Linked DNA regions of Stegostoma tigrinum. The protein of the gene in region 3 interacts with the protein of the main gene of each other region in a pairwise test. Links are inferred from orthologs where the notes say so. Each region holds a gene or a part of one and is shown on either strand. Other genes may lie near its edges. The genes, in order: litaf, ptpn9a and reep6.

Evidence for each region.
Region 1: the proteins of reep6 (region 3) and litaf interact in binary tests that used the Homo sapiens proteins (3 or more experiments, as listed by UniProt). The two-hybrid records come from large-scale screens. The link is inferred for Stegostoma tigrinum from reciprocal best matches to the Homo sapiens genes REEP6 and LITAF.
Region 2: the proteins of reep6 (region 3) and ptpn9a interact in binary tests that used the Homo sapiens proteins (3 or more experiments, as listed by UniProt). The two-hybrid records come from large-scale screens. The link is inferred for Stegostoma tigrinum from reciprocal best matches to the Homo sapiens genes REEP6 and PTPN9.

The regions. Positions count from the first base shown.
Region 1 is NC_081376.1:5,008,943-5,019,642, forward strand, and holds the start of litaf (lipopolysaccharide-induced tumor necrosis factor-alpha factor homolog), read right to left. Parts: upstream 4,715-10,700; 5' UTR 4,587-4,714; intron 1-4,586.
Region 2 is NC_081389.1:4,441,020-4,451,726, reverse strand, and holds the start of ptpn9a (tyrosine-protein phosphatase non-receptor type 9), read right to left. Parts: upstream 5,515-10,707; 5' UTR 5,445-5,514; coding exon 5,412-5,444; intron 1-5,411. UniProt on the Homo sapiens protein: Protein-tyrosine phosphatase that could participate in the transfer of hydrophobic ligands or in functions of the Golgi apparatus.
Region 3 is NC_081383.1:11,411,011-11,422,712, reverse strand, and holds the start of reep6 (receptor expression-enhancing protein 6), read left to right. Parts: upstream 1-6,199; 5' UTR 6,200-6,353; coding exon 6,354-6,468; intron 6,469-11,702. Other genes in the region: proprotein convertase subtilisin/kexin type 4-like, read right to left, coding at 789-956. UniProt on the Homo sapiens protein: Required for correct function and survival of retinal photoreceptors. Required for retinal development.

The DNA.
Region 1 (10,700 bases), on a different chromosome or scaffold from region 3:
CCAGGCAGAATGTCAGTTGCTGTTCCTGCAACCTTCCACTCCCCCTCCCATTCTTTAGATGACATGTCCATCATGGGCCTCCTGCAGTGCCACAATGATGCCACCCAAAGGTTGCAGGAACAGCAACTCATATTCCGCTTGGGAACCCTGCAGCCCAATGGACTCAGTGTGGACTTCAGTTTCAAAATCTCCCCTTCCCCAACTGCATCCCTAAACCAGCCCAGCTCTCCGCACCCCCCCCACTTCATCCCAAAATCAGTCCAACCTGTCTCTGCCTCCCTAGCCGGTTCTTCCTCTCACCCATCCCTTCTTCCCACCCCAAGCTGCACCCCCATCTACCTACTAACCTCATCCCACCTGTCTGTCTTCCCTGGACTGACCTATCCCCTCCCCACCTATCCTCTCTCCACCATCTTCTTTACTCTCCATCTTCGGTCCACCTCCCCATTTATTCCAGTTCCCTCTCCGATGAAGGGTCTAGGCCCAAAACGTCAGCTTTTGTGCTCCTGAGATGCTGCTTGGCCTGCTGTGTTCATCCAGCCTCACATTTTATTATTACCACTGGAGGAGTGCAGCACAGAGTCCTAACCAAGTGACCTGGCAACTTCTACACAAGCAGTGCAATCTCAAACTTTAATAGCCACAGCAAGAGAACAGATGACTTAAGAAAAATTCCAAGTAATTTAATCCATTAGTTAACAATACATTGAAGTGAACCAATTGTGACTTGTGCAGTGGCACATTGGGTAAAATCTGGGATATTCTAGGAAGTGCAGACAACAGCACACCCCTTACATTACATGAAGATGCAATTTAGAATCTGCTCTGCACTTTTCATTTACACATATGGAATTAAGATTTCCCATGTGTGGGATTAACATTAATCCACTTCAATCCATTGGAAGTAATTCCATCAATTGAGGTTTCCTTCAAGTACTGGGGTGCTCACCAAAAGCTATGAAATAGGTAATGTGACCACAGAGTCAAAGAAAAAAGTAACACTTGCCTGAAAATAGATCTCTGCGTTAAAAAACCTCAAACACTCCCTAAGCACGCCGTGAATTTGGCTGAAGATGCATTACTTTTATGGCAGGCAGTGCCATTCTAGAAGTATCTAGCAAACTTGCGCTGCCCCCGCCGAGTACTGAGCACTGTTTATTCTCTTACTGGAGAGAGAGGAGTAATTGCATGGGGGTGGGCAGTTCAGAAAACTCATTAGATTAACTCCAGAAAAAAGACTTGCCTCACAAGGAGGGATTGAGCAGTTAAGACCTAAACTTGACCAAGTTTTGGTGAGCAAGAGGCAATCTAGTTAATTTGCACAAGATGCTAGTGGGAATGACAAGATAGACATGGAGATGTGTCTCCACCACACTGCCCCCACCTCCAACCTAGAGGGGCAACCCAGGAGGAGAGACCAGTGTTAGACTAAGGTGTAACAGATTTAAACAGACAGGAGAAATGGCTTCTCTCATAAAGGGTCTTGACTATCGCCTTCACGACCCCAGAGCATGGTGGATAATGTGACCCTGAATAAACTTGTCAGATAGATTTTTAAATTAGTGATGGGTTGAAGAGTTACAGGGAATGGGCAGAAAGCAAACTGAGGCAGAGATGAGATCAGCTGTATAAGTGTATCAAGTAGCCTAGCAACACCGCTTGCCGTTCACAATATTGATCTGTTTTCCTTGTGGAAAACAGGCACTGGGCTTCAAGCAAAGCAGCACCTCCACTTCAAAAGAAATACAAAATTTCCTGATAGAGTGGCACTTTGCAACTCTGACCCACCTCCATTCAATTCAGGTGGGCAGTCTGAAAATTTGTCCTGAAAAAAGTGTTTTTGGACTGAAAAACCATTTCAGTTATAAAAATGTTGCTTGTTAAGTAGCATGTAATTTTAATTTGCAGATTGCCTGTACTCTAAATTGAGGTTAGCCTTCCCTCAAACTTGATTTGAGAAATTTATTGCATTCATTAATGGTAGCAGCTTAAAAGCATTAAGATCAGTAAGTGCCGAACAAAACACTATCCCACAGATTCAAGAGAACATCAGTAGCCACAATTAGGATTAGGCCATTCAGCTCATTAAGCCTGTTGCATGATGCAATCAAGTTATGGTCAATTTTGAAATAGGCAAGTTATACAATTCTATTAGGGAGGGTCACTGGACTCAATATTAATTCTTTCTGTACAGATGCTGCCAGATCTGTACAGTTTCTCCAGCATCCAGTCTAGTGATGGATGTTATAATACTGAAGTTTCAATTCACAAAATCCTTAATACAGCATGAACATTTTTCACACTGCTGCCTAGATTAACTCACACCAAATCCTATTCAAACACTGTACCAATGGTCACCAACTTATCATTTCATTATCAATCAAATCCCTTCTACCAGCAATCTACTTTAATACTGGCAATCAGCACATACCATGTCTGAAAAACTAAGTGATGGCCATAGCTGCAGCTCCTTAAAACATGGCTTTCTAACCAAGCTTCCAGTCAGCTAGCTCAGGGTCAAGTGTTAAGAGAAACAGTTGGAAGGTACCTTGGGGCATCTTACTACATTAAAAAGACATGCATGAAAGTCAGGAGATTGACAGTGACAATAATGGGTCACACTGCTCAAATGGTAGAAGCTTCCCATACAGCACTCAGCCTTTCATAGTCATTGAGTTCAAGATCTTCAGCATTATTCAACATTTTACATCCTATTGACCCTGATTACAATCTACACCATAGCTAGATCTAGATTTTCAGTAACTACATTATTATGCTCGAGTCAGAAAGGTTAATTCTGGACAGCCATAAACACCACCCATAATGGAGGTAGTCGCAAACCCTACTATCACATTTAACGTGAATGAATAAAGCACCCAAGTGTTAGCAGAAAGTTCTGACTTTGTATTCATGGCAGAAGTTTTATCTGGAGATTATTGTCCTGTACATTAGTTCAGCTATGAAAACCTACTAGAGAGATCTTCATATTAAAACATAAGATTGAGACTAGTGGACAAAACAGTTTATCAAAATAAAAAGGACTCAACATTTGTTTGAGAAACTTAATGACTAATGCCTAGCAATCATCAACATAACCTGTAATTGTTACCACAACAAACCAGATGGTTCTCAACAGAATCTGGCCAGGCCAAGCAGCTTTTCTCCATCTCACTGGAGAAAGTAGATCTAGTTTCCTGAAGAGGATGGTGGCAGCAAGTCTCAAGAGAAAGAGCAGAGTGTAGTTTATAGTGGCAGCTCACAACCTTGTTATACACTTCAGTGAGAAACAACTCCACACACACCTACCATACTGCTCTGGATAACATATGGCTCTGGAAGTTTACCCAGCAGATACTGCCTTCAATAAAGAGGCACACAAAGATCAGAAACACAGTCACCAGCATCCCCCTCTCTGATGAAGGGTCTAGGCCCGAAACATCATCTTCTGTGCTCCCGAGATGCTGCTTGGCCTGCTGTATTCATCCAGCTCCACACTTTGTTATCTCGTATTCTCCAGCATCTGCAGTCCCCATTATCACCAGCCTCCACACTCAGGTAAAGCAGCATGCTTTCACAAACAAACGTTTACCTACAAACTTCACAACATTGTACAGTAGTTAAAAACCATTGGCTTGAGTGGTCATGTTCATTCCACCAATCCCCTATAGACAGCTTGCAGTTTACAGGTGTATTAACCCATTAAAAAGGTGGCAAAAGCATAAGACACTAGAAGTTTATTTTCAAATCAAAAAAGAGTTGCGGCAAAACTCAGGTCTGGCAGCGTCTGTGCAAAGAAAGTCGAGTTAACATTTCAAATCCTGGTGGCTTTTCTTCAGCTTTTTAATTTAAAAGAACTCCATTTCCTTATAAGTCTAATGCAGATTCAAAATCCACAACGAGCACGAACAGTTCGTTTTCCATTTAGGCTCTGGCTACTTAGTACTAAACAGCGATAGCCTAATAACCCTATTTCCAACCCCACCCTTAAATTATTTAACAGAAACTGCGTATGCTTTAATGGCAATGTTTATTTTAGCTAGTGTAAATGCACTTTGCTTAATGACCGGTGAAAACAAATTTCAAATTAAACCGAGCTGAGATCAGTTCGCTACGCTTAGGGGACTTTGCGAGTTGAGAAATTTGTGGATTCTTCCGTGAAAAGTAAAGACACTTCTAAAAGTAGTTAGCTATTCTCACATCATCGTGGTAGCTAGCTTTAAAAATAGAGGAGTTGACCTAATACAGAGTCTTATGACTAATTAAGTAAGATGTACTAACTTTCATCTCTTTACCAGGCACCAGGATTTATAAAAAGCAAACTATTTTAAATACAACGATGTGAACAAGTCACTTTTGACTCAGTTCAAACAAACACCCTCCCTAACATTAACATACACAACATTGCTTGATTTGAGGGGCGGGGGTGGGCTACGAGACACTTTCTTCCAGAACGTTTACAACATTACAACTGATTCTAACCCACACACCATCATCGTACAAAATTTTTACTTAAAAAAAAACAAAACACTTCGACAAAGCCCAGCAAACGAACTAGAGAATTGCAGAAATACCAACGAGTCCTTTACCTCAAATCCTTCAAATGCACCACGTCCGACAGCGGTGTAAAGGGACCCCTGTACCCGTATAATAAAACACAAACAAACCACACACTGTAGCTCTGTCCCTGAGTATGAGCCAGTATCATCTGACTCTATTTAACACATGACGCCGCACTGCGGCGAGGATCGATCGCTATTAGCTGATTGCCAGCTCGCTCACGGGCACTAATGGCCAATCCCAATCAGTCAAGCACTTCTGCCGACCTCAGGAAATTCCCTGCCTTGGAGGGCTTTGGAGACACGGCAGTAATGTCTCTACCTCTGAACCAAGAGACCCGAGTTCAAGCCCTAGAAGCATGAAATAATGTCTGTCAAGTATTTTTAGCCAACTTGTGTCCAATGAACTGTCAATGGGACAAGAAAGTGCTCACATTAACTTGCTTGGAATCTCTAAAGCACGTTAGGTAGGCCACTTCTGGAATACTGTGATAACAAGGTGTGGAGCTGGATGAACACAGCCGGCCAAGAAGCATCATAGAAGCAGGAAGGCTGACATATTGCACCTAGTGTTCAGTTCTGGTCTCCCTGCCGTGGGTAGGTTGTTGTGAAACTTGAAAGACTTACAAGGATGTTGCCAGGGTTGGAGGGTTTGAGCTGTAGGGTTAGGCTGGGGCTATTTTCCTTGGAGTGTCAGAGGCTGAGGGGTGACTTTATAGAACTTCATAAAATCATGAGGGGCATGAATAGGGTAAAAGGGTATTTTCCCCAGGGTAGGGGAGTCCAAAACTCGAGGACATATATTTAAGGAGGGAAGGGAAAGATTTAAAAAGGACGTAAGGGGCAACTTTTTCACACAGAGGGTGGTGCGTGTATGGAATGAGCTGCCAGAGGAAGTGGTGGAGGCTGGTACAGTTACAACATTTAAAAGGCATCCAGATGGGTGCATGAAATGGAACGGTTTAGAGTGATATGGGCCAAATATTGGCAAATGGGACTAGACTAATTTAGGATATCTGGTTGGCATGGATGAATTTGACCGAAGGGTCTGTTTCTGTGCTGGAGAGCTCTAAGACTCTGTGATTCTTTGCAGAATAAAGTGGACCTCTTATGTAGGTAGAGCTTACAAAGCAAAACTGGTCGAAGAACGTGATAGTCATTGAGGCAGCTATTAAGAATCATTCAAACTAGGAGCTTGCAGGAACTAGGAATGTTGTACAATAAGACGGAGGAAACATCTTCGGCAAGGACAATGGAACGGTATGAATGCGAGGGGAGTCACATCCGTAAGACTTTAAAAGCCTTCAATCTTGGGATGTGGGTGTCACTGACTGGCCAACATATAGTGTCCACCCATTGTCCTGCAGAATGTAGTGCTGAGATATTTTGTTTAGCCACTGCTCCACAATGCTGTTGGGAAGGGAATTCTAGGATTTCAATCCTGCAGCACAGCAGGGACGATAATATATTTTTGGTGTGTGGCTTGGATGGGGACTTGCAAGTGGTTCCCATGTATCTGCTGCCTTTGTCCCTCTTGATGGGAGAAGCCACAGATTTGAAAGATTTGAATTTTAGTGGTGCTGCTGTGCAGCTTCTGTATTGTGTACATCGCTGTAGTCCAGACTGCTGTACCTGAGCAATGGGAGAGTAATGTTGAAGGTGTTGGATGAGGTGCCAATCAAACTTCTTGAGCGTTGTTGGATCTGTGCTTATCCAGCAAAGTGGGGGCTTGTGCCTTGTAGATGGTGGGAGGGCTTTGGGGTGACAGGTGGTGAGTTGCTCACTGCAGTATTCCCATTCTCAGACTTGTTCTTGCAGCCATAGGATTTATATGGCGGGACCAGTTCAATTAAAGGACAATGGAAACCCTCGGGATGTTCATCCTAACCCCAGGGATAACAATGGTAATGCTCTTGAATATCAAAGAGAGATGATTAAAGGCCTTTTTATGTGATGTAGGTATTGTCTGGTATTTTTATGTTTCTTGCCATTTATCAGCACAAGCCTGATAATTGTCCATGTCTTGATTATTGTCACGTGTGCCGAAGGATAGTGAAAAGCTTTGTTTATGAGCAGTACAGGCAGATCATAGTAAGCAAGGATGTACAATCAGGGGTTGTGAAAAGAATTAGACAGAGCATACAGGTTATATTGCACAGTGTGCATGCTAGGCAGATCAACATTAGCAAGATTAGCATTATTTGAGACTAGAGTCCATTAATCAGTTTGATAACAGCCAGGAAGAAGCTGTTCAGGAACCCACTCATATGTGAATTTAGGCTTCTATATCTTCTGCCTGATGGAAGAGACTGTAGAAGATCATTACCAGGGTGGGATGGGTATTCAATGATGGTGGCAGTCTTTCTGTGGCATTGAGCCCTGTAAATGCAGCTCATGGGTGGAAGGTTGGCTTCCATGATGTTCTCAGCTGTGCACACCACCTTCTGTAGTTTCTTATGGTCCTGGGCAGCGCAGTTGCCGTACCAGGCCGTTATGCACCCGGACAGTATGCTTTCAGTGGTGCATATGTAGAAGTTGACGAGGGGCCTTATGGACATGTCAAATTTCCTGAGCTGCCTGAGGAAGGGCAAGTGTTGCCTTGCTGAAGATGGACATTGACTGCTACAGAATCTAGGGAGTTGAACATTGTGAAGTCATCAGTGAACATTCCCCCTTCTGACCTTATGATGGAGGGAAGGTAATTGATGAAGCAGCTGAAGATGGTTGGGCCTAGGACACTACCCTGAGGAACTCTTGCAGAGATGTCCTGGAGTTGACATGATCACCCCCAACAGCCACAACCGTCTCCATTTGAGCTAGGAATAACTCCAACCAGAGAAAATGAGGATAGATTCGGAATATTGACATTTAAAATGCCAAATGGATGACATTTCAGTGACAATTGGGAGGTAAAAGAAGCTGATTATGTGGTATGTAAAAAGTTGTAAAAAATGCCTCTTCTGATTAAACAGCCTGATTTTAAAAATTCCAAACTAACATCAAGAATATGCTATAGACCACTGAATAAAACTAAGGAGCAGGACTAGGAAGTATGAGGAGAATAAGTATGTTTCATTGTTAGACATCAATCAGCTAAATGCAAACTGAGTGAAGTAAACTAAAGGGGGACAAGGGGTTTCCCTACCCTTTCATCTCATACTTTGATATCTATTATACAAAACACTACAATGACTGCAGGGGCATAGTTAGCTCAGTTGGATGGATAGCTGCTCTGTGATGCAGAATAATGTCAATATCACAGGTTCAGTTACTAATGAAGGACCCACTTCGTGACCTCTCCCTTTGAGTCTTGGTTTGATATATTGTTGTCACATTTACCAAGATACAGTGAAAAGTGTTGTTTTGCATGCTCTACAGGCAGAGCGCACCATACAAAGTATGTCAGGGTAGCAGAACGGAGTGCAGGGTACAGTTTTACAGCCACAGAGAGGGTACAGAGAGAGAGAAACCAGCATTAACATTTGAGAGGTCCATTCAAAAGTCTGACAACAACTGCCGTTGAATCTAATAAAACATGTTTTCAAATTTTTATATCTTCTGTCCAACAGAAGAGGATGAAGAGAATATAACTGGGGCGGAAGGGGTTTTCCCTGCTGGGGTCAGACTTTTGAATGGACCCTTCAAATGTTAATGTTGATCTCTCTCTCTGCACCTGCTCTGCGGCTGTAACACTATACCCTGCACTCTGTTTTGCTACTCTGACATACTTCGTATGGTGTGATCTGCCTGTGGAGGGTCTTTCACGTTAGTTGCTTTCCCGAGGCAGCAGGAAGTACAGATAAGTCATAGAATGGAAGGCTGGTTTGCATGATGGACAGGGCTTGTGATTATGGCTCACTGTAGTTTCTTGTGGTTTTGGGAACAGCAGTTACCATAGCATACTGTGATGCATCTAGATGGGATGCTTTCTATGGTGCATCTATTAAAAATTGCTAAGTGTCTAAGACATGGTGACCCTCAGGTTGAACCATCGCCCATCATCTCTCTTGATCTGAGGTTGTAGACTTGCTCGCTGAGCTGGTGGGTTTGGTTGTAGGTGTTTCGTCACCCTGCTCGGTAACATCGTCATTGCGCCTCTGGTGAAGCGTTGGTGTTCTGTCCTGCTTGTTATTTATATGCCTCGGTTTGCTGGGCTAGTTGGCATCACTTCTGGACCACCCAGCAAATCAAAGCATATAAATAACAAACGGGACAGAACACCAACGCTTCACCAGAGGCGCAATGATGATTTTACCTAGCAGGGTGACAAAATATCTGCATTCACACACATCAGCTCATTGAGGAAGTCTACGACCTCAACGGAGCTACAGATCTTCTCTCTCTCTCCCTTTCTCTCTCTGTAATGAGAGAGCAGCCTATGGTCCTCGGGGACTACGGTGGCTTTATCTTCCCTTTGTTATCAATGCAACTTCCACTTACTACGTTGACCCTTTCTTAACACACCATACAACAATATATACTCACAGGAGCAGTCACCCAGGGCATCCCCACGTAAAAGAGTTCGTTACCAGGTGGTTATGAACTGTGCCATGTGTTGCCCTGGGATTGGGTCCACAGCCGGAAGCATAAACTGATCAACATTCTTGAAGGTGTTTTTTTGTACATTGCTTTGGCTGAACTTCAGCAACTTAGGCAAATGCCATTAGTTCATACTGTTGCAGTGTTGGGTAGAGTATTTGTGGATTGGGAGGTAGGAAGTTAGAATCTTATTGTTGTAAAATGTTGGTGGGGTGGGGGGAAGAGAGAGCATTGTGTGGTCCCTTTAAAAGATGACGTGCTTTTTCTGTGCTTAGAGATTTAAAATGGATGCCTGTGAGCAGCAGCTCGAAAGTCTGCAAGTACACATTGAGCACCCAAATTGAAATATTTGTATCAAGACGCCAAACAGTTAGCTGGCCAAGCAGCAGTTTTTACCAGGACAACAAGTTTTTGAATTTAGCCAATCAATTTGAACCAGGGACTTAGATACCAAAAACCGATTAAATTTAAATCTATGGCTTTGACAACATAGGACCAATCCTATTCTAAGAAGTATTGATATGTCATCAAGGATATAAAAGAAGGAGAGATTTGGACAAAGACTACAGAGCTAACTGCCATCCGCTAGAGCTAAACGCCCTCAGGCCTGAAGAGAGAATCGCTGGCTCTCATAGCCTCCTCTATGCCTTGGAGAAAGCACCGTCTAAATAAAAAATGGTACCAAAGGCATAACTAGTTAATATTCCTGACCAGAAGATACGATGGTGAAGGCACAGAACATTTAAGAAGACTCATAACCTACATAAGTGGGACTTGTATTTGTTACAACAGCAATCCATTAGAATCTTGTTTTAAGATAATAAAATGTGAGGCTGGATGAACACAGCAGGCCAAGCAGCATCTCAGGAGCACAAAAGCTGACGTTTCGGGCCTAGACCCTTCATCATGATGAAGGGTCTAGGCCCGAAACGTCAGCTTTTGTGCTCCTGAGATGCTGCTTGGCCTGCTGTGTTCATCCAGCCTCACATTTCATTATCTTGGAATTCTCCAGCATCTGCAGTTCCCATTATCTCAGAATCTTGTTTTATTTGGGTATGGGTAGTAGTTAGAAGGTGCTTATTCAGTTTGGTAATAGTTTAGTTAATTTGCTCACTGTTAGAGTTAGAGAAATAATTTATTACTTCTTGTTTGTAAAGTGAGCGTTAAGAATTTATTTTATTAGTCGCTAGAAGTTGATGAAAGACAGGTCACACCACTTTTCACACTCCTTTTACAGATTACAGGGCGAGATGCTTCTCTTTGGGTGTTTTGGTGTTAGTTCTCAGAGGGGGTAGACCTCCACTGTACAACATACCCTAACCTCAGTATGGGACTTCTTCTAGGGTTTGTGTCAAAACATGTGTGATCTGCTGTATTCCTCAGGCAGGACGAACAGCATTCACCCTCTGTTTCCCCCAGCCCTCCTCCAAACTGACCTGATGACCATTGCCCAGATTGTTACTGTAGACAAGGTATTTATATGTGTGAGCCACCTGTTTCACATGTCTGGTATGATGTGGGTGAGATAGGCCCAACGGTCTAAGGTGCATGAGGATCAGCAACTTCATTGTTGGTTGGGTCTGGCACTGGCACAGCGAAACATTG
Region 2 (10,707 bases), on a different chromosome or scaffold from region 3:
GAGCCAACGACCAACTCCAAAATAACAGCCTAGGACAGAAGGTAATGTTGGGATAAAGGGGATACATTCAGGAGGATAGCTTGTTGAGTGCCACAGGGATCAGTGCGGGGGCCACAATTATTTACAAAATATATCAATGATGGAAGCGAAATACTATTTTTGAGTTTTTGGACGACACAAAAGTCAGCAGGAAGGCAAGTACTGACAACTAGCAAACATGACAAGGAGTCGAAAGGAAGATACAGACAGGTTCAACGTGTGGGCAAAAACTTGACAGATGGGACATAACACAGGAAAATGCGAGGTTATGCACTTTGACAGGAAGAATAGAAGAGATGAATATTATTTAATTGGGGAATACTGCAGAAAGCTGCAGTGCAGAAGAATATGAATGGCCTCATAAGTGATTCTCAAAAAGTCACAAAAAGTTCAGCAGGTAATAGGGAACGCAAATAGATCAGACTTTATTTCAGAAAGGAGTGAGTATAAAAGTAGAGAGGCTTTGCTAAAACTAGACAAGGCACTAGTCAGGCCACACCTGGAATACCGTGAACAGTTTTGTCCCATTATCTAAAGAAAGATATATTGGCATTGGAGACAGTCCAGGGAAGATTCAGTAGACTAATTCTTGGTATGGATAGTTTTCCCTGTAAGGAGAGATTGAGCAGCTTAGGTCTGTGCACATTGGAGTTTAGTAGAATGAGAGGAGACCTTTATTAAATAATCAAGGTAGATGTGAGCAAATGTAGAATCAGAGGACAAAATTTCAGCATAAAGGCTCTCCCATGTAAGATACTGACGAGAGGCATAACGTGGTGTGATGCTGGAGAAACACAGCAGGCCAGGCAGTATCAGAGAAGGAAAGCTGACGTTTCAGGTCTGGACCCTTCTTCAGAAATGGAGGAGGGTAAGGGGGCTCTGAAGTAAATAGAGAGCGCGGTGCGGTGATAGGAGGTGGACAGTAGTGCAAATAGGTGGGAGAGAAGATGGACAGGTCAAGGCGGCAGGGATGAAGCTAGTAAAGGTGAGTGTAGGCAGGAAGTGGGATGGGGGTTGGTCAGTGAGGTAGGAGTGGCAGATAGGTGGGAGAGAAGATGGAGTTGTGAAGGAGGCGGGGATGAGGGGGGGGGTTGAGCTGGTCTTGGGATGACATCAGGCATGGGGAGATTTTGAAGCTTGTAAAGTCCACACAGAGAACATTCAATGGGTTCAAGGTGGAATATGAGGTGCTGTTCCTCCAGTTTTCAGGTGGCATCATTGTGACACGAGAGGAGGCCCAGGGTGGACATGTCATACAGGCCATGGGAGGGGAGTTGAAGTGGTTTGCAACTGGGAGGTGTTGTCATTTGTTGCGAACCGAGACCCCGCCCTCATCCCCATCTCCTTGATCTGTCCGTCTTCTCTCCCACCTACCCGCTCCACCCACCTCACTGACCAACCCCCATCCCAATTTCTGACCTCCACTCACCTTTACTAGCTTCATCCCTGCCTCCTTGACCTATCCATCTTCTCTCCCACCAATCTGCTCCACTGTCCATCTTCTATCACCGCGCCCCCACCTCTATTAATTTCAGATGCCCCTTCCTCTCACCCATTTCTGAAGAAGGATCCAGACCTGAAACATCCACTTTCCTGCTCCTCTGATGCTGCCTAGCCTGCTGTGTTCCTCCAGCTCCACACTGTGTTATCTCAAACTCCAGCATCAGCTATTCCTACTATCACAGATGAGGGGGGAACTTTTTCCCCCAGAGAGCAGTGAATCTGTCACATTCTTTATTGCAGTGGACTGTTGAGACTGGACCATTAAGTATGTTCATGGCAGCTACAGACATTTTAATCAGTAAAGGAATCAAGGGTTATGGTGATAAGGCAGAAAAGTGCAGTTGGGATTATTAGATCAGCCAAGATCTCATTAATGGTGTTACAGACTCAACGGGCAGAATGCCCTAATTCCACAGTTGTCTTTTCGATTCCCAAGGAATACCAAGTGTTACATTTCACAACGAATTCCTAAGATCACCAAATAAAATTACTACTTACTGGGCAGGAAGTTAACATTTTTAAAAGAAAAATGAAATAATTAGCAATTTCCACTGAAACCATATACAAAAGCTTCTAGCATAGAATCAATTAATTTTCCGACAAAGTATTGTAAAAATGAAACTTAGCAAAATCATTGAGTCAGGGACTTTAGCTAGACTAAAAAGGAAGGACTAAATCAACTCTTGAGACTGACAGTAGCATTACAGTACTTCAAAGCAGTCAAGTTTCTTTCATGCAGCAGACTAACGAGCAGCATTTTTCCGTGTCACTGAGCATCACAAGCTTTCTGTTAATTAGAAGCTTAGTCAGGAGTTTTCAGCCAGACTTTGGATCAACAGTTTTCCAGCAATATCACATTCCCAAGCTAGAGGCAAATAAATAAACTGACAGGATGAACATTACATCTTCACCATTTTCCTGGACCCCTGTAAGTTTTTATAGTGCAAAGGGCAACTACATTTGCTGAACATGGTGGGAACTGCCTCCATCTAGTCCCAAAAGAAACATTTGGTTGGCAGCGTCTGAGAGGGTGAACACTGGCAGGTTACTCAACCACAGGACCTATCGCAACTCGATTTGATCCTGATCTTGTTTTATCGATTACTGATACTCATCAGGGATTGACAGGCTGGGACTCCAGCTGAAAGAACTGTCGACTATGTTCACTAACGTTAATACTGTACTGTCTCCCAACTGCCTCGACCTTACTCCATCTACTCCTCATTTGTTGCAGCCTTGGAGTCAAGACGAAGAAAAAAAAACTTGTATTTATACTGCACATTCAACAATAACAATTTATGAATACAGGGCATCTATCAATCACAAGATGTTCCAAGGTGTTTCACTGGGCCCTTCTGGAACAAATTCCAACACCAAGCCATCTAAGACAACATTACAATAAATGCCCAAAAGTTTGATGAAAAGGATAAATTTTAAGGAGTGTTTTAAAGAAAATATATAAAAGGAGCCAAAGAGGTGTAAGAAGGGAATACCATATCTTAGGTCCTTGGCAGTTGAAGGCTCAGCCACCAGTGGAACAAGATGATTGAGACAGTGGAGTTAGATGGTCACAAAGTTGGAGCACTGCATGCTGGATGAGATGAGAGTTGAGTCCACGGTGGGACTTAAAGCCAAGGATGAAAATTTTAACATTTTCCACGATCCAATCTAGGTCAACATAAACTCCGCCAAATCATCAAGTCCACCTCAGTGCAAGTCCTGCAACTCACTGTAGCAACGCAGACTGAAAATATGTAAATACACACCGCACTGTAACCAATTCTCCCACCCATTCTATAATGTGATTACAATCACAAACAATGTGAAACTGACTTCCATATATTTGTCTTAATAATGAGTTGTATGGTATTCTAAGTTCACACAGTTTTAGAAATGTGCAGCATGTTTCAATTAATAACTTAAATATACATAACAAATGCAAATCTGTTTCAGCAAGCATGAGTACAAGGAGCTTGTTGCAATCTTCTCACCAGTACTCACAGCTGTATCCTCAGCTGATAATATACCAATCCTAATTTTAACACTTCCATTCATCCCCCGTCACTCAATATGAACTGCCAGTCCTGGATTTGAAAGTCCAGCAGAATTCAATGGATTCCAATGATTTCTAACAGCACAAGATAGAAAAACTTGTCATCCATGGAACAGATAACATGCTTTTTAAAAGTACCTTGAAAGATGCCATATATCCCAGAGGCAACATTTTCATGCAGAAGGCGATGTGTGTATGCAATGAACTGCCAGACAAAGGGGCAGGCTGGTACAATTACAACACTTAAAAGGCATCTGAATGAGTATATAAGTAGAAAGGATTTGGAGGGATATAGGCCAAATGCCTGTAAATGGGACTAGATCAGTTTAGGATACCAGGTCAATGTGGAAGAGTTCAGCCAAAGGGTCTGTTTCCATGCTGTACCTCTCTACGAGTATATAGCTACTGTATTTCTCTCCCGCCCCACAGATCAAGATGGCAAATCATGGTCATCCAGAGTTGCAGGATTAGTCCCCAAATAATTGTTTGGAACCTCTCCCCCACTTCATCCACACCTGCCTCCTCCAGCACAGTTAGGCAGAGGAAGGGATTTGATTTTGATCCTGACCTTGACCTTAACCTTGTCGTTGTGAATTTCTAAAAAGTGACCATTTCACACATTTGTCACTTCACCAATGATGCCCAGTATTTTGGAGAGAGCTCCAACTGCAAGAAACCATTTCAGGAAAGACCAAGCAACGGTTCTGGAACTTTTCTTCGTATGTGGTTTAGTATCACATGACGCCATATGCTTACATATTGACTAGCACTCAGGTAACAGGAGCAAACAGGAAGAAATTTGTTAATCTACAGGTCTCCATTATCAAATATTAAGATATTTCACAGTAACTACACAGTGCCTATTTTGAACAAGCCAGTGTTGGCAAGATATCAATTATTTTAAAAGAAATGCCTCATGACATATTCAAGCTCTACTGATTTTAAAAGGGTGCAAAATGAATTCTGTACGAAATGCTCTTTCAACGTATCAACGTCAGTTCACTCCTAAACCTCCATGGTCTACCACTTAAACTGTGCTCGGAAATGATAAGTTTACTACAAAGAAATGGCAATTTCTCCAAATGTACTGTTTTCCCTTCTCAAGTACAAAACTTCTGCTCCTCAACCTGGAGGCATCTCTTGAAATTAAGATCCATTTATCTTTGGGATGTGACTAACGCACCCAACCGGTGAGAAACTGCTCGCTTGACACCGCCTCAGAACAAAAGCTTGCTGGAAGTAAATGGCAGCTTTTTCGTAAGGACACCCACGATAACAGAATCAACTGGACTGTACAATAAGCCTTGAGATTCTGTGGAGATTTTGAAAAAAAAAATCTGTCGCTTAGTGAATTTTTCCCCCTCAACTTGCATTCAGAAAAATAAGGGTGGGGGGGGGGGAAGAACGTTAGAATTAAAATAAATCCGACCTTCAGAAAAGAGAAATGCCTGCACGGGAAGAAAAAGACGATTTTTTTTTAAAGTTTGAAGGACGGGAGTGAAAGAATTGTCATTAAATCAGGGTGAACGCCGCATTGGGAAGCTGCCTGGAAAGGAGCGGGAGCTGGGGGGAGGAATCACCCCTTCGCCCTGGTGTCGGTACGCGAGCCCGGTGCCCCGATAGGCCGCGGCTGCCGTGGTAACGGTGGGCCTACCCCGGGAAAAGGTGGGGGTGGGGGATGTGGAAACAGCCGCCCGATTCACCACCGACACAGATATGGGGGGGGGGGGGGGGGGAGAATCAGTATCGTCTCCCCCCGGTTCCCCACCTTAAAAACAAAGCGCACTACATTATCCGGTCTGAGCTGTTTCCTGACCTGCTCCTCCTCGGCCGTCAGCTCCGCCGCCATCCTCACTCCGTTCTCCGCCCAGGCCCGGCTGCGCTCCGCTCTCACTGCAACCGCCTGCCGCTGCTACCCCCGGCTTCTGGACGAACTCTCCGCCCCCATCCTTCCTTCCTTCCCTCCCTCAGCCAAACAATGGCTGAGCTCTGCTCACAGGTTCATCCTCCACGGCCCCGCCCTGCCCGCCAACCGTGGCGCAGTGGTCATGTCACTGGGCTGGTGACCGGGCGACCCGGGTTCAAATCCCGGACCTTCCCTCTTCCCCCCGCCTTGTAATTCTATCCTGTCTCAATATCTTCAGTTGGGTGCCCAAATCTCCCCGGTATCCGTTGCCTTCAAACAAAACCCTAACCAAGTGCAGTAAGGGGGAAAAAAAAATCATACAAGACATAGTAGGAACTGCAGATGCTGGAGAATCTTTAGAGAACAAGGTGTAGAGCTGGATGAACACAGCAGGCCAAGCAGCATCAGAGGAGGGAGAGATAATGGGAACTGCAGATGCTGGAGAATCCAAGACAACAAAATGTGAGGCTGGATGAACACAGCAGGCCAAGCAGCATCTCAGGAGCACAAAAGCTGATGTTTCGGGCCTAGACCCTTCATCAGAGAGGGGGATGGGGAGAGGGTTCTGGAATAAATAGGGAGAGAGGGGGAGGTGGACCGAAGATGGAGAGAAAAGAAGATAGCTGGAGAGAGTATAGGTAGGGAGGGGATAGGACCCTAACCCTATCGCAGTCCAGGGAAGACGGACAGGTCAAGGAGGTGGGATGAGGTTAGTAGGTAGATGGGGGTGCGGCTTGGGGTTGGAGGAAGGGATGGGTGAGAGGAAGAACAGGTTAGGGAGGCAGAGACAGGTTGGACTGGTTTTGGGATGCAGTGGGTGGAGGGGGAAGAGCTGGGCTGGTTGTGTGGTGCAGTGGGGGGAGGGGACGAACTGGGCTGGTTTTGGGATGCGGTGGGGGAAGGGAAGATTTTGAAACTGGTGAAGTCCACATTGATACCATTAGGCTGCAGGGTTCCCAGGCAGAATATGAGTTGCTATTCCTGCAACCTTCGGGTGGCATCATTGTGGCACTGCAGGAGGCCCATGATGGACATGTCATCTAAAGAATGGGAGGGGGAGTGGAAATGGTTTGCGACTAGGAGGTGCAGTAGTTTGTTACGAACTGAGCAGAGGTGTTCTGCAAAGTGGTCTCCAAGCCTCCGCTTGGTTTCCCCAATGTAGAGGAAGCCACACCGGGTACAGTGGATGCAGTATACCACATTGGCAGATGAGCAGGTGAACCTCTGCTTAATGTGGAATGTCATCTTGGGGCCTGGGATGGGGGTGAGGGGGGAGGTGTGGGGGCAAGTGTAGCATTTCCTGCGGTTGCAGGGGAAGGTGCCGGGTGTGGTGGGGTTGGAGGGCAGTGTGGAGCGAACAAGGGAGTCACGGAGAGAGTGGTCTCTCCAGAAAGCAGACAGGGGTGGGGATAGAAAACCAGCTTGTAACTGATGTCCATTTCAAGCCCACCGACTCCCACAGCTACCTAGAGTACACCTCCTCCCACCCACCCTCCTGGAAAAATTCCATCCCCTATTCCCAATTCCTCCGCCTTCGCCGCATCTGCTCCCACGATAAGACATTCCACTCCCGCACATCCCAGATGTCCAAGTTCTTCCGGGACCGCAACTTTCCCCCCACAGTGGTCGAGAACGCCCTTGACCGCGTCTCCCGTATTTCCCGCAACACATCCCTCACACCCCGCCCCCGCCACAACCGCCCAAAGAGGATCCCCCTCGTTCTCACACACCACCCTACCAACCTCCGGATACAACGCATCATCCTCCGACACTTCCGCCATCTACAATCCGACCGCACCACCCGAGACATTTTTCCATCCCCACCCCTTTCTGCTTTCCGGAGAGACCACTCTCTCCGTTCCCATTATCTCTAAAAACTCATTGGATCCTGGATAACCTGGCAAGATAGATCCAAAGTTGGCTTTGTGACTGGAGGCAGAGGATGGTGCTAGAAGGCTGTTTGTGTGACTGAAGACAGTGCATAGTGGTGCAGCACAGGGATCAGCACTGGATCCCTTATTGTTTGTGATATTCACAAATAATGTGGTTGAGAATGTGAGAGGGATGATAAGTACATTTTTGGAAGCCATAAAGATTGACCAGGTGGCAGACAGTGTTAGGCCACAGGAGGATATAAACAGATTGGTCAGAGGGGCAGATCACTGGCAGATAGAATTTGACCCTAATAAATGTGATGCGATGCGCTTTGGAAGGAGCAGAGCAAGCAAGTACTCAATGGGTGACAAGACACTAAGAAGCTCAGAGGAACAGTGGGGTCTTGGGGCGCTTGTCCACAGATCCCTGAGGGTGACAAGACAGGTCAATAGGGCAGTTATGATCAGTTGACACAGATTATAAAAGCAAGGAGATCACATTGGAGCTGTAAAGACTTTGGTTCGGCCACACCTGAAGAACCGTGTACCGTTCTGGTCACCGCACAAGAGGAAGAATATGATTGCACGGATCAGGTGCAGAGGAGATTCACCAGGCCATTGCCTGGGCTGGACCATTTCAATGAAGACTGATTAGATGAGATCGGGTTGTTTTCTTTGGAGGAGTGAAGGTTGAGAGGAGACCTGAAAGCAATGTATAAGATTGAGGGGCACGGATCGTGTTGATAAAAGGCAGCTATTCCCCTTAGTTAAAAAGCCAAGAAGCAGGGGAAAATTAAACCACAATTTTTAAAGTGAAAGACAGGATGTTTAAGAAAGGATTTGAGGAAAATCTTTTTCACCCAAAATGTGGAGGAGGTCTGGAATGTACTGCCTGGGAGGGTAGTTAAGGCAGGAAATATCATAAGCTTTAAAAAGTATTTGAATCAGCAAACATCCCAGACTATGACCCTTGTGTGAGGAAGTGGGACTAATATGTTTAGTATATATAGTAGCAGCAGCATATTTTTGGTAGTACAGAACTGATCAGCCAAAGAGCCTATTCTATGCCATCTAATTCTCTGATTCTATAAGGAATCCTGGTAAAGCTGGAGTAAATGGGAATTGGGGTAAAATTCTCCACTAATTGGACTCATATCAAACATAAAAGGATGATGCTTGTAGTTGTTGGAGGTCAGGCATGTCAATTCCTGGACATCAGTTCAGGAGTTCCTCAGGGTAGTTTCCTCTGCCCAACCATCTTCAGCTGTTTCAATGACTTCCCCTCCATTTTCTAAGGTAAAAAGTGTAGATGTTCACTAATAATGACACAAACTTCAATATCATTCAGGAATCTTCAGATATTGAAGCAGTCCACATCAAAATTCAACAAGATCTGGACAATATCCCAGTTTTGGACACATAGGTGCCATATAGTGATCATCTTCAACAAGATTGAACCTAACTAACACCCCTTGACTTTCAGTGGTATTACAACAGTGAATCCCCCATTATCACAACTCTCCTGGTTAACATTGGCAGGTTGACACCACATCCACTTCCTCCACCACTGATGTTCAGTGTCAGGAATGTGTACTTCTATTCAAAGTGCATTGCAGCAACACAACCAGGCTCCCTCAGCAGCACCTTCCAAATCCACAATCTATACTACCTGGAAGGTCAAAGGCAACTGAAACATGGAGCATCACTGAAATAACTCCACAGAAGCAAGTGAGCGAGTCACCCTTCCTTTACTTACTCATGAAGGGTCCTTGACCCAAATACAACCTCCTCAAAATCAGCTCCCAGAGTGGCAGTATCTCTGACATTCACCTTTTTATTTGTCAGTCAGAGGTCCCTGACTGGGGCTGTTAATCTGGTGCAATCATGGATCCCATATTCTATGATGTCCAGCTGCATGACCTCGTTACAATCTCTACATCCCTCCCTCTCTGAGCCTGAGGATATAGGCCAGTCATTTTTCTTGGAGAGACTCCTGGGGTGTTTTAGCACCAGGTCAGGTTCCTCCAACTCTGCGTTGGATGTGGTAGCGTGTAATGCATGGGAGCTCGCCTGTTGCCCCAGCAAGCAGTGCTTCAGTAGAATTTCATTCTCCTGGCAGCATAGATTTCGTGGTAGCTATATCCATCATGTCTATCTCTGATTCAGAACTCTTGTCAACACTTGATGGCGAGGTGAACCCACAGGTTCCAGTAGCATTGCCAACTGTTCCGAGGGGCCGGGCATGTTTTGCTTCCACACCGTTCGCGCATTTGCAGCCTTCATATGGTCCATTTGCTTGTTCAGGACTGTCATACTGACCCAAACTTCATACATCACTGGTCCTGATCTTGTGTTAACCATGCCCCTTACCGGTGAAGGGCCATTTTCTGTGACACTTACACCAGGCTTTGACCCCTATATCAAACCGTCTCTCTTGCTTGGCAGAGTCTCAAGTCTGGCATTGGCAATCCTGATGCTGTTTCACCCTCCCCCAGGTCCAGGAAGATCAGACTTAACCTGGTGTGGAGTTTTCTCCCCATTAGAAACGGTGATGCAGCTATTCTTGTAGTTTCATATCAAACAGTCCTATAATCAAATAGGAACTGGGTCAGTGTCGTCTCTTGGTGAGGCTGTAGGCTGATTCTTTAAGCCAGCCTTCAAAGTTTACATTGCTCTTTCTACCAGGCCATCGGATAATGGGCAATATGGAGTTGTCCTTACATGTCCAATGCTGTTCAACTTTAGGAAATACCCAAATTCTCTGCTGATAAACGTAACTATGACCTACCCTTTCAGGACTCTGTGTATTGAAAAAGATACGCACAGTTTTTCTATTGTCATCCCATTTGACAAATGTACTCTCTGCATGCCCAACCATGAAATGATCTGCACAGTAGATGTCTAAAGTTTACCTAGCCGCCCCCACTAAGATGGCAGAACTGCTGGTGGTAATTCTTGTCCTTGTTGGCACTCTGAGCACTGCCCCACCAACATGGCTACATCTGCACCTAGGCCTGGCCATCAGACATAACTTCTCGCCAGCACGTTCACTTTGGCAACCCCTGGATGACTCTGGTGGAGGTCTGCCAGTGTCAGGCAGTGACATTTTCTTGGAACAATCCTTCTTGCTCCCTGTAATAAAATGCCATCCTCTACAGTGATCTCGTCTCTCCAGGTCCAAAAAGGTTTCAGCTCTAATTGTGACGGTCCTTTTAGTTTCACCCAACACCACCAGTTGTTTCAGTTTTGGCAGGGCCGGATCTTTCAGCTGTGACTGAGTGTGTGCATAAAATTTGTCTGCCAGCAGGAAACAGCCCAATACATCAGCATTT
Region 3 (11,702 bases):
AGTGATGTTAAAATTAAATGCCAACATGTGTAGTGTTGCAAAAATGGATTGAAGCAGTTGCAAAACCTCAAACTATTGCTTTAAGCTCCACACACTTTTCCCCCAAAATACATGCCACATTTATTCTACATATTAGGATAAAGGCATGAATAGGAAAAGTTGCATCTATAGCAGACTGAATTATTCCCAATTAAAAAAACATTTCTCAGTCATTTCCATTTGCTTCCATCAGCAACAATACACCACGTTTTTACAGACCTCCCCAATACTCAAAACGATGAGATAAACATCTGCATTTCTTTGTTATCCCGGTCCTAAAACAGCTCTGCAGCTGCTTTAATTTATGGCATTGAGGCACCATCTTTCAGAAGTCAGAAAAGAAAACACATCAATACCAATAAAGAGTTATTTCCTTCTTAATTATTACATTGGTGTTACATCACTCCAATCCTAAACCAAGCATGCAAAGGAATAACAAAAAAAAGTGCACATTTTGTTTGGGCTCAACACAATACTATAGGAATAGTGCACAGTTTTAAAAATAAAAAAAATTGAGTGGTCAACATTTAATCCTCCTATCAACGCTCTAAGTAAAGCAAATCCCCAAGGATCTGGTGATCACATTGCCTAGAGGAGCTTGTTGTGTGTAAATTGGTCGCATAGTTCTGCATTATAAACTGTATAAGAAAGGCGGTTTATTAGATTCGGGACATACTTGGGCAGTGAAAAAATGTTCTATGTACGCCAAACTTTTGCTGGCACTAACCATTCACCAGCATAAGCCATACCCGTCCTAAGTTGATGAATCCGTGTTTGCGAGCTATCCTCTTGGCTTCCCCTGCCCCACCAGAGATGTGGACAGCCCAGGTGTTGGTGTAGAGCCGCCTGCCGCTACTAAATTCACCAACAACACTTGCAAACAGGCCAACCACTAAAAGCTGGCGGATATAACTCATAACGATGTGATGGACCTTCAAGCGATCTCAACTCCAGCCTCAAACTATGTCATTTTATAGCCAAGGTCAGCTCCAGCGCAGCAAGACTAAGAAGAAACTTGCTGCAGGTCGTTAAGGGATTTTTTTTTTAAAAAACTAAGCCTCAATACAATGTCGGGGGAGGAGCAGGGGCAATAATTGGCTACGGTTTCCAAAGTATCACACGCACACCATTAAATCAGGGATGAGAAACTTGCGGTAATTGTGTTATTGTTCAAGTTGGAGAGTGGCGCTCACGGAAACAGCCGAATGTTGCCGAAGCGGAGTCAGCGGGCAGGTTCATGTGGAGCGCCTGCCCTCCCTCCCTCCCTCCCTCCACATCACTCCGGGGTTTGGGGGAGGCGAATGGAACCTCAGCCAATGACCGGCCCGTTCTGGCGCGACGGTTGGCGGCGGTGACGTCGCCGCCAGGTGCGCCCGTGCTCAACGGTCGCTGGTGGCTGACGTAATCGGCAGGTGTGCTCGAGCTTAACGACTGAACACCTGAGGCGATGGGGGAAGGGATGATTGTTCCAGTTCTACGGGTCGGAGAATGGAGGACTTGGATATTGTATCTGACCTTGCTCCTCTTCAAAGAGGTGTAACGTCTGAATGAAGTCCTGAAGTTTCCACCACCGTCCCCATCCACAGTCACAATAACTTGCTGAGAAACCCATTGACGGCTGAGTCCCAAAACCCACACCCTCTACCAGCTAGATGAACAGGGAGGACATATGTAAAAGCAAAATACTGATTACTGGAACTCTACAGAAAGAAATTAAGCAGGTCTGACAGCATGTGTGAAGAGAGAAACTGAGATGAGACTCCGGTATGACTTCTTCAGAACTTAGCAAGTTCTGCAGTAAATGCACAGGAGCAACTATCACCAGCTCAAAGTTCCTCTCCAAGTCACACACCTTTCTGACTGGAAATTTTACTGGTGCCATTCTCTATTGCTGGGTCAGAATCCTGGAACTTCCATTTTAACAGCATAGCAAGTGTACCTGCAGCATTTAGTTCAAGGTGGGAACTCACTACCACCTTCTCAAGGGCAATAAGGGACGGTGAATCAAATTCTGATTTTACCAATGTCACTCTCATGCCATGAAACAACTTTTAGAAAGGGCTTAAAAAGGCTCATCTTCCCCTTGAAACCCTCTGTTACCTTCAGGCTTCGAGTTACTTTTCTGTGGGGGAAAAACTGCACAAAGAAGCTACAATTTCTGCGATTTAAAAAAAAACTTACCCTACCTCATCTTGCATTGTGAAAAAATAGTTTGTGGGCTTCATCCCAAATTTTGGCCATGATGTCACAATTTTATGTTATCAACAGATATGGAGCAATCAGAGATAGCACCCACTGATTTACAGCAAATGATAAACTGTGTGGGCGGAGGAAGAGTTGAACCTGTCATCATAAAACTGTAAAGTGGATATATATCTGCTGAAAAAGCTAGGGATGAAATTGAAAGAAATGTTAACTTAATAGATTTGTCTCTAAAATATGTCAAACAAATACACAATTTACTAAATTAATAGGTTTGAAAACAGAAAGTGCTGAATCCACTCAGCAGATCAGAAAGTATCTGAACAAAAAGGAATAGCTAATATTTTAGGGTTTTTCATCAAAGGGGATACAAATGTTGAATTACTGTTAAATATATGAGAAGGGATAATGATTAAACTTTGTAATTCTCTAATTAGACCACACTTTGCATCCTGTAAGTAACCTGGCCACTTAGAAATAAAGAAAAATCAGAAGTACAGGGGAATAAAAATGAACGGAAGTATCATGTCTCTCAGATTGGAAAATAATTTATGATTCCATTTGAAAGCAGGTAAAGAAGGCCCTTATTGCAAGCCATCACTACACAGAGTTAATGTTGTTACGCAGCAGTTTTTGAGACATCACCTTGCCTTACTAATACTCTATAAATAAATAACAGAGAAACAGTAATTATTAAGAACTTGCATCTCATTGGAGATGCTTTAGGCCAGTCCACATCCATTAGCCAGCTATGAAAACGGTGCTCATTTTTTAAAGCTATGACAAATTCCAAGGCAGCATCTGATATATTCTGCAGCATTCTAAAAGAATAATGTTTTAAATCAAACAGCCCTCACCAGGGACAAAAAGAAGGCCAAGATAACTAACTTTGCCGAATAAATTCCCAAAAACCAAACATTGATTCCTGTTACTATACCACATATAATGCAGTCCCAAAACATTTTAATTGTGAAAGTACAAATTAGATTCATTAGTAGTTACAAGTTGCAGAAATTTAAGTTTTACAGATTTTACATTGAAGGAATTTGTTGTATTGTTTTCCTTTTCAACTTTTACTTCAGATTATAACCATGTGCTCATTTTATGCCCTGGGTGTGGCTCCCATGTTAACTATTTTTGCATAGAAGTCACTGTAAAAGATGATGGAAAGAGGAAAGTGCATGGAATAACAACATTGACATATTCATTTGTTTTTGCCCAAATCTCTTTTAGCTCTTGCAGGTGTTTTAGTTATAATTATTTAGCTCATATTACAACAAACCAAGAAATTTATTATTTACTTTGAAACAGCAATTTACTGTTTTATGTTGTGTGACCCATTTTTCTAAGCACAACTTGTCTTCTATTAAAATGCAGCATAAAATCTACTGATAAGATTGCTTTTTTTGTTTAGATTTTAAGTGTATTTGTAGCATTTTCTGTGCTCTGTCTATTTGTGTTTTGTTAGCACCAATAAATGAGGGAAATATTTAATTATAATTATGATCAGAAGCAACAGTAATTTGAATACTAGCTTTCAAAGATCATGAACAGTCTTTTTGCAAATTACTCAACTGATTTAGACTCTTAAAAGTAGTTTACAATGCTCAGAAAACAACTTGAACATTTGAAAATTATACAATTAGAAGAAAATAATCAAACGTTTTAATTCTAAACCAAAAACAGGAAATATTGAAAACACAAACAAGACACCTGTGGAGAGAAAGGCTGGGCATTGGATTAGTTTTGGCTATTTGTCATAATGAGCTGAATAGACACTTTCACTAAAACAGCTACCAACTATGTTGCCTGCAAATGCTGGTAGTCATCCTGACTTTCTAGCCATTTGCATATATAAGTAGACTATGCATCATATTTACAACACACAAATACACCATTTGGTTCAGCTTGTCCATACCAGATTTTACACTCTGCACAAACCACCTCCACCCTTCTTCATCAAGTCCCATACTCTTCTATAACCTTTTCGCTCATGTGCTTAACTTGATTCACTGTAAATGTTCCACAGTACAGAATTGCAAACTTTACATCCTTGTTCACAAAAGTGTGTAAGGTTAAGATAGCAACTATGGATCATTCACTTTAAGGTTGTTGGCGGGAAAAGATTTAGAATCAATAATTCAAGACCCAATTAACAGTCTCTTTGAGAAATACAAAGTTGATTAAGAAACCGACATAGAATTATGAAGGGGAGATTAAGGCCATTAACTAGCTTAAGTTTTTGATGAACCAACAGAGAGAGTTGATGAAGGTACAAGTTATGGTGAAGTTCTAAAATACACTAGTTCAGCCTCAACTGAAGAATTGTATCCATGTCTGGATAGTACATTCTAGGAAAACATGAAAGCATTTTAAAGAGTGCAAAAAGTATTTACAAAATTAATTTCAAGTTTGCACAATTTTAGCTACCATAGCAATTTGAGAGGAGTTTTGATAGATTATGTTCAAAATAATTAAGTTTCTGCACAAAATGTAAAGTCCCTATAGTTGGGACAGTTAAAACCCAGAAAACATTAATTTAAGATGACTTGGAAAAGAACCAAAGGCAACATGAGAAAAATCTTTTTTATGTATTTATTGTTTATGATCTGGAACCTGCTCTGCCTCTGATAGAAGCACATTCGGCCATGGTTTTCCAAAGTGAGTTGAATCATTAATTATGTAAGGAAAAAGGTTTTCGTGGAGGTGGGAGAAAGCAAATGCCGATGAAATGTTCTAGCTGAAGTAGCATAGACACGACAGACTAAATGGCTTCATTCAATAACCATGTTATGCTTCTAGATGGTTCACCTCTCCTTGTGTTGGTGAGTTTCACAATCTGCCTTTGCGAAACAAAGTTTCTCTTGAATTGAAAAAGATTTTTAAATTAGTTATCTTATACATTTGGTCATAAAGTATTGGCCTCCCAACAACAATAAATGGTCTTACTACATCTACCTTAGGACTTCCAAACCTTTTCCCAATGATGCCATTTCAAGACTTGAAAATTGTCATGAACAAAACAGAAGGTGCTAAAAAAAAGCTCAGCAGGTTTTGCAATACCTGTGATTAAAAAAAAAATCAGAGTTAACATTTTGGGTCATTGACCCTCCATCAGAAGCATTGAAAATTGTCATGACTCCTCAAGGAAAACTGAGAAGTTGGGGTTGGTGGTGGTTGGAAAGACCTATGAGAACAGGAGGCAAGAGCAAAGACCTATGAAAACGAGAGGAAAGGAGCAGTGACAATGGGAACTGCAGACGCTGGAGAATCCAAGATAACAAAGTATGGAGCTGGATGAACACAGCAGGGTGCTTTGTGGTGATCATTACTGCCTGAAAAGCTTGCAACCCCAAAATTTCAGCAGGCAACTCTGCTAGAGTCACGAACCCCCACTTTGAGAAGCCTTGACCTACTCTAGTGAAGCAAGTTGTAGCATCAAATACGTCTAGTCGGTCTTCTACTTTTTCAGAATAAAACGTTCAATTTTTTTTCTGATATTGATGAACTCCGAATTCAGGTTTAACTCCAGTAAAGAGATAGTAGGAACTGCCGATGCTGCAGAATCTGAGATAACAAGGTGTAGAGCTGGATGAACACAGCAGGCCAAGCAGCTTCGGAGGAGCAAAAGGTTCCAGACCCGAAACTTCAGCTTTCCGGCTCCTCTGATGCTGCTTGGCTTGCTGTGTTCATCCAGCTCGACGCCTTGTTATCCCTTAACTCTAGTAAATCTGTTCTTGCATCTATAGTATTCTTGTGCCTCTATACAATTTTATAACACGGTGACCAGGACTGTAAATTGTACTCCAAAACATGGTCCCTTCTGGACTTGCCTGTCTATCATTTCTTTTTAAATCGCTATACAAAGTCAAATTGACAAACAAAGATCTGGGTATGAGTATCAACCGTGGTTCCAATTGGGCAACTGGTGTGCCAATCACAAAATGATGCCGGAAACGTAGCTCCAACAAACGGATCGCGTCGTCGTTAAGCGGATTGGCAGAAAGGTTTGAGAGTCAGCAAAGTGGAAGATTAGTGGGATAGCTGCAATAAACGGAACGCGTTGGGAGTTAGTAGTGTCTTCTGTTACCTTTAGTAGTATTTATTGCAAAATGCCGTCCTTGCGAGAGCGCTTTGAGAATTTCCTGAACGAGAAGAACTTCATCACCAACTTATTGGGGAAGATTGAAGAGAAGACCGGGGTGCGTAAATACAATCTAGCCACAGGTAGGTCACAGAGACTTGTTAGCACCCAATTGTAATATGTTGTTGAATGTCAACTTGCGCTGGCTTCGACTGCGATTTGATTTCGCTTGTAAAAAGAAAGAACTGAGGACGCTGGAAATCAGAAATTAGTGGAGAGCAGTCAGGCTTAACGTTTCGGGTTGAACGACCCTTCAGAACGCGTGTCACCCGTCTGCTACATGTTGCCAAAAGCTGTGGTTACGTTTTTGGGGAAGTCAAGACCCTTCAAGACACGAATCGGTGATATTGATAGTGGAAATTGTAAGGGTCACTTAAATACTTGTCTTTTTTTTGCAATCATGAGCTGTAACGATTTAAATTGCATTGTTAGTGCGTGGTTTTGGAGCTGAGAGGCATGTGGTTTGTGTCAAAGGACAACATTTAAAATTCCAAGATTTATATGATATTCTAAGCATATGCTGACTGAATTGGTACTCTTTATATATTAACAAGTTGGTTAGAAACTTGGTCTGTTTTAGTAAGAAGGAGGAACCACAATTGAAACAGTTTTCACTTAATTGTGGTAGATATAGGAAATCTGTGAATTTGGTTAAGCTGTTATTTTTGAAGGAGTAGCATTGTATGTTTCGTGCAGATTAGAATGCTGGGAGGTTATGTTGTGGGAATGTCACTGGATTATTAATCCAGATCCAAGCTAATCCTCTGGTGACATAAATTCAAATCAGATTCAATTAGTAAAAGCTGGAATTGAAAACTGGCCTCAATAATGTTGACCGCAGAACTGTCATCAATTGTTGTAAAAATAAACTCGTAGTTCAGAGTTCACTGCTTATGCATGTGACTCGTGACAGGAACGTGGTTGATTCTGAAATACTGTAACCCAAAAAGCCATTCAGTTCAAAGGCAATTGGGATGGGCAACATACTTTAACTTTTGCCAGTGAAACACGTGTGAAAGAATAAATTTAAAATTAATTTTATTATTGAAGCAGTGCCAAAAGAAAACTCCAGCACCAGAACTCATAAATTAAATATATTGGGGGAAAATTCAGCAAGGGGATTTCCTTTTTCCTCGAGAAAAGAGAAAATGGAGGGGTGACCTGGTTAAACCTGTGGTGTAGGACATCAATAAATTTGTTTGGCATTCCTTGTCGAGAGTGTTCAGAAATTGAAATCCAATAGTGCAAGTAATTGGGTGAATAGCATAGATGCCCTCTAAGAAGAAACTGAATGGACGTGCATGCAAAAAAAGGTTAAACTATTAGAACTGAATTTAATGAAAACTGAAGGAGGTTGGTGTGATGCACAAGCACTGTGAGCCAGTTGGGTCAATGACCTGTTTTCTTCTGTTCCGCACTATTGCGTGTACTATTTTGCGTCCAAATTCAGTTCTGATCCAACATTCAGCAAGTATCCCAGCAATATGCAAAATATTTTAAAGACAAGATGTTACCTAAATATGCCACTTCTTTTAATCTTCTGTTCAAATCCTATGCTATTTCAGGTCTATGTGTACCTTCAAGAAGCTCCTTTTTGAAACTTATTTCCTTAATTACATATTTTATTTGTCAATCTGAAAAGTTTTCAATTCAAGTTCTGAAGTATGGGCTTCTTAACACCAATACCAAAAGGTACATGTTGAAAGTAACAATCCTTTTTGTGTATTGAAATGTAAAAAAATTTCACATATTTTAGACTTCCACAAATGTGCCAGCTTTTTTGATACTAACTGTGTGTCTACAGAAATTTTAGTTTTCTCATTTATGCAATTGTTTATTTGCACATGGTGGAAATACCTTCGTGTTTTCAAATATCTTTTGGACTTGGGCAGGATAAAGAATGCAAAGGAATACATGAAGAGTAGAACAACCCTAGGAATTGCTGAGGATCAGAGGACTTTGGTGTGCATGTCCACCTATCCCTTCAAGCCATAGGACAAGTCGATAAAGTGGTTAAGAAGGCACGTGGATATTTGTCTCTAGCTAAGGCATTAGAAGGGAGTTTATGTAGGAATTGTATTTAAAAAGTTGGTCAGCCAACAGCTAGAGTATTGTGTGCATTCTGGAATCCACACTTTAGGAGGAATATATCATTGGAGAAGATGCAAACATAATTAATCAGGATTTTTTTTAAAAAAACAACAGCAAAAGAATGGTGGAAATCAGAAACGGGAACAGTCTGCTGGAAAAGCTCAAATCTGGCAGCATCTGTGGACCTAACATCTTCAGGTCCAGTGACCCTTCTTCAGATCAGTTCTTCCATGTTACAGAATATTTGAACTCTGTGACTAAAACATTAATGTGGTAATTCCCCAAAATGATTTCCTTAACTCCACTTACTACTTATGCAGTTAACTCCAGATAAACCACAATCCATTGCCGGATCATCCCTGTTTGGATAATGGCTCAGCAACTTGCTGGACATGGAACTGAATAACTGAAAAGAATAAATGCAAAAATACTGAAGTTGCTGGAAATCTGAAACAGGAATGGAGCACTGGGGAAACACACAAGGACAGGCAGCATCGGTAGAGAGAAAAGAGTTGGTGTTTCAAGTCCAGTGACCCTTCATCAAAACAGAAATAGACAGAATAGTCAGTAACCGTGCTGATAACATTCATGGGGTTGAGTATGTGATCTGTTATAATATGTACACACCATGTAACTAAGAAGAGCAAAATGTAATGGAAGTTCATAACTTGTAACTTGTATTGCCAGTCAACCTTGATGTTAAATTCCTCTCTTTAAATTAATCTTTGTAAGACTTAACAGTAAAAGTATTGTAGAGTACTAGAGTAGTATTACTGAGAGCAAAGACTTACTGCTGAAGGCCTTACCAAACCAACAGCTTCTGTTTTAAAATTTGCATTATAATTAATCTTGCGTGATTTGTTTTCTTGTGTCCAAAGGCAATTGCATGTGGCAAATAACAAGGAAAAGAAATTCAAATAAGCAATTATTTCCATAATGTTTCTAAGTTGTAGCTCCATTGCAAGTTGCATTTTAGCTCTGTACTGGACCTCAGTGTATTTTATGAAGTTGATTTTATAGCCAAATGAATGAATGCTTCACAAGGAACTTTTTACCTATGTTGCTAAATGTATGTATGATCATTTCGCTGAGGTTAATTGAAAACAGCCTTAGCAGACAGGACAATTTAAACTTTGACAACAGTGGCTGCAGGGTATTGATCCTCCCTATACTAAAGCATTCCCTCCTATGACAGTTTTAGTGGCAGCGATTTCTTGCATTTTATTGCAATATTTAAGTGATACACAGCTTTCCACATCTACAGGTGTGTTCTAGAGCTGGAGACGGAATTTATTCAAGCAGAGGGTGGTGGTGGAGGGTTTTTCATACCGAAGACCTGTGACCCGTGGTGTGCCGCAAGGATCGGTGCTGGGTTCACTGCTTTTTGTCATTTTATATAAATGATTTGGACATGAACATAGGATTTATGGTTGGTAAGTTTGCAGATGATACCAAAGTGGAGGTGTAGTGGTCTGCAAAGAAGGTTACCTTTAGAGTACCACAGGATCTTGATCAGATAGGTCAATAGCTGAAGAGTGGCAGATGGAGTTTAATTTAATAAATGTGAGGTGCTGTGTTTTGGTAAGGCAAATCAGATCAGGGGGAGACTTGTACACTTAATGGTAAGGTCCTGGCGAGTGTTGTTGAACAAAGAGACCTTGGAGTGCAAGTTCATAGTTCCTTGAAAGTGGATTTGAGAGTAGATAGGATAGTGAAGAAGGTGTTTGGTAGCTTGTGCTTATTGGTTAGTGCATTGAGTGTAGAAATTGGGAGGTCATGTGGCTGTACAGGAAATTTGTGAGGCCACTTTTAGAATACTGCATTGAATTCTCGTCTCCCTCTATATGAAACTTGAAAGGGTTCAGAATGTACTTACAAGAATGTTGTCAGGGTTGGACGGTTTGAGGTACAGGGAGAGGCTGAATAGGCTGGAGCTTTCTTCTTGGGAGCATCGGAGGCTGAGGGGTGACATTTATAGAGGCTTATTACATGAAGGGCATGGACAGGGTGAATAGCCAGGACCTTTTTCCCATGGGACGTGGGGTCCAAACCTAGAGGGCATACATTTTAAGGTGAGAGGAAGGCAATTTTTTGGTACGGGGTGGTGCATATATGGAATGAGCTGGCAGAAGTAGTGAAGGATGGTACGATAGCAACAATTAAAAGGCATCTGGATAGGTATGTGACCTAGAAAGGGTTTAGAGGGATATTGGGCAAATGGGACTAGATTACTTTATCATATCTGGTCAGCATGGACAAGTTGGACCGACAGGTCTGTTTCCATGCTGATCAACTCTGACTCTCTTTCATTTGATCAATATGTAGCTCAAGTTTTTTTAAAAAAATAATTTCTGGTCTGGTATCATGAATGAATTCCTATCACTTACATTGTGGTCTAAAATATCTGGCAATATGCATAAATGCACTTAAGTGCACAATGTACTGTGAAAGTATTATCATCCTAAACAAAGGGAATGGAGAAGAGTGATTAGTCTACTTGTTAATGCATGCCTCCTCAGGCTGGTGAGTGCTTTGGCCTGCCACCACTTTCAGCAGTGAGTCTTGCATTTATTTTTGGTGGGAGAGGAGGTGTAAGGCCAAGTGCTACTGTGAAAAATCAATTCTGACACATTAGGCCATTTTGTCAGGCCAGGGCCAAGACCAAAGATACACATCTGAGCCCAATAGACAGAACCTGGGCCATAGGGCTGGGGACTGTTGCCCTCAGATTGAAGGATGAAGTTGATGGCTTGAACCAGGAGCAGCCCTGGGAACATGGTTTCTCTTCTTGCCATTGAGTTGCAACTCAGTTGTAGCACGCTTTCTCTTCTTAATCACAAAATTCCAGATCCAAGCCTCCCTCCAGCACTAGAGCATAAAAACCAAGGCTAACATGCCAGTGCAGCACAGTCCAAAAGTGCACTTTCTTTTGCATGTGACTGATCTGCTGCCTTTGTGGATGTGACAAATCCCCATAGCACCTTATTCGATGAAGAACAGGGGAACAACCCTTGCAGTGTTGACCAATATTTATCCCACAGTTATCATCAAAATAGATGATCTGGTTTTACTACATTGTTTGAGGGACCCTTTCCATTAATCAGCTGCTGCACTTCCTACATTATGGCTGTCAGTACACTTTGAAAAGTAATTGTTTGTGAAGCACTGAGACCTCGGGTAGACATGAAATGTTATTTATTCACTTTCAAAGATCCAACTACAACGA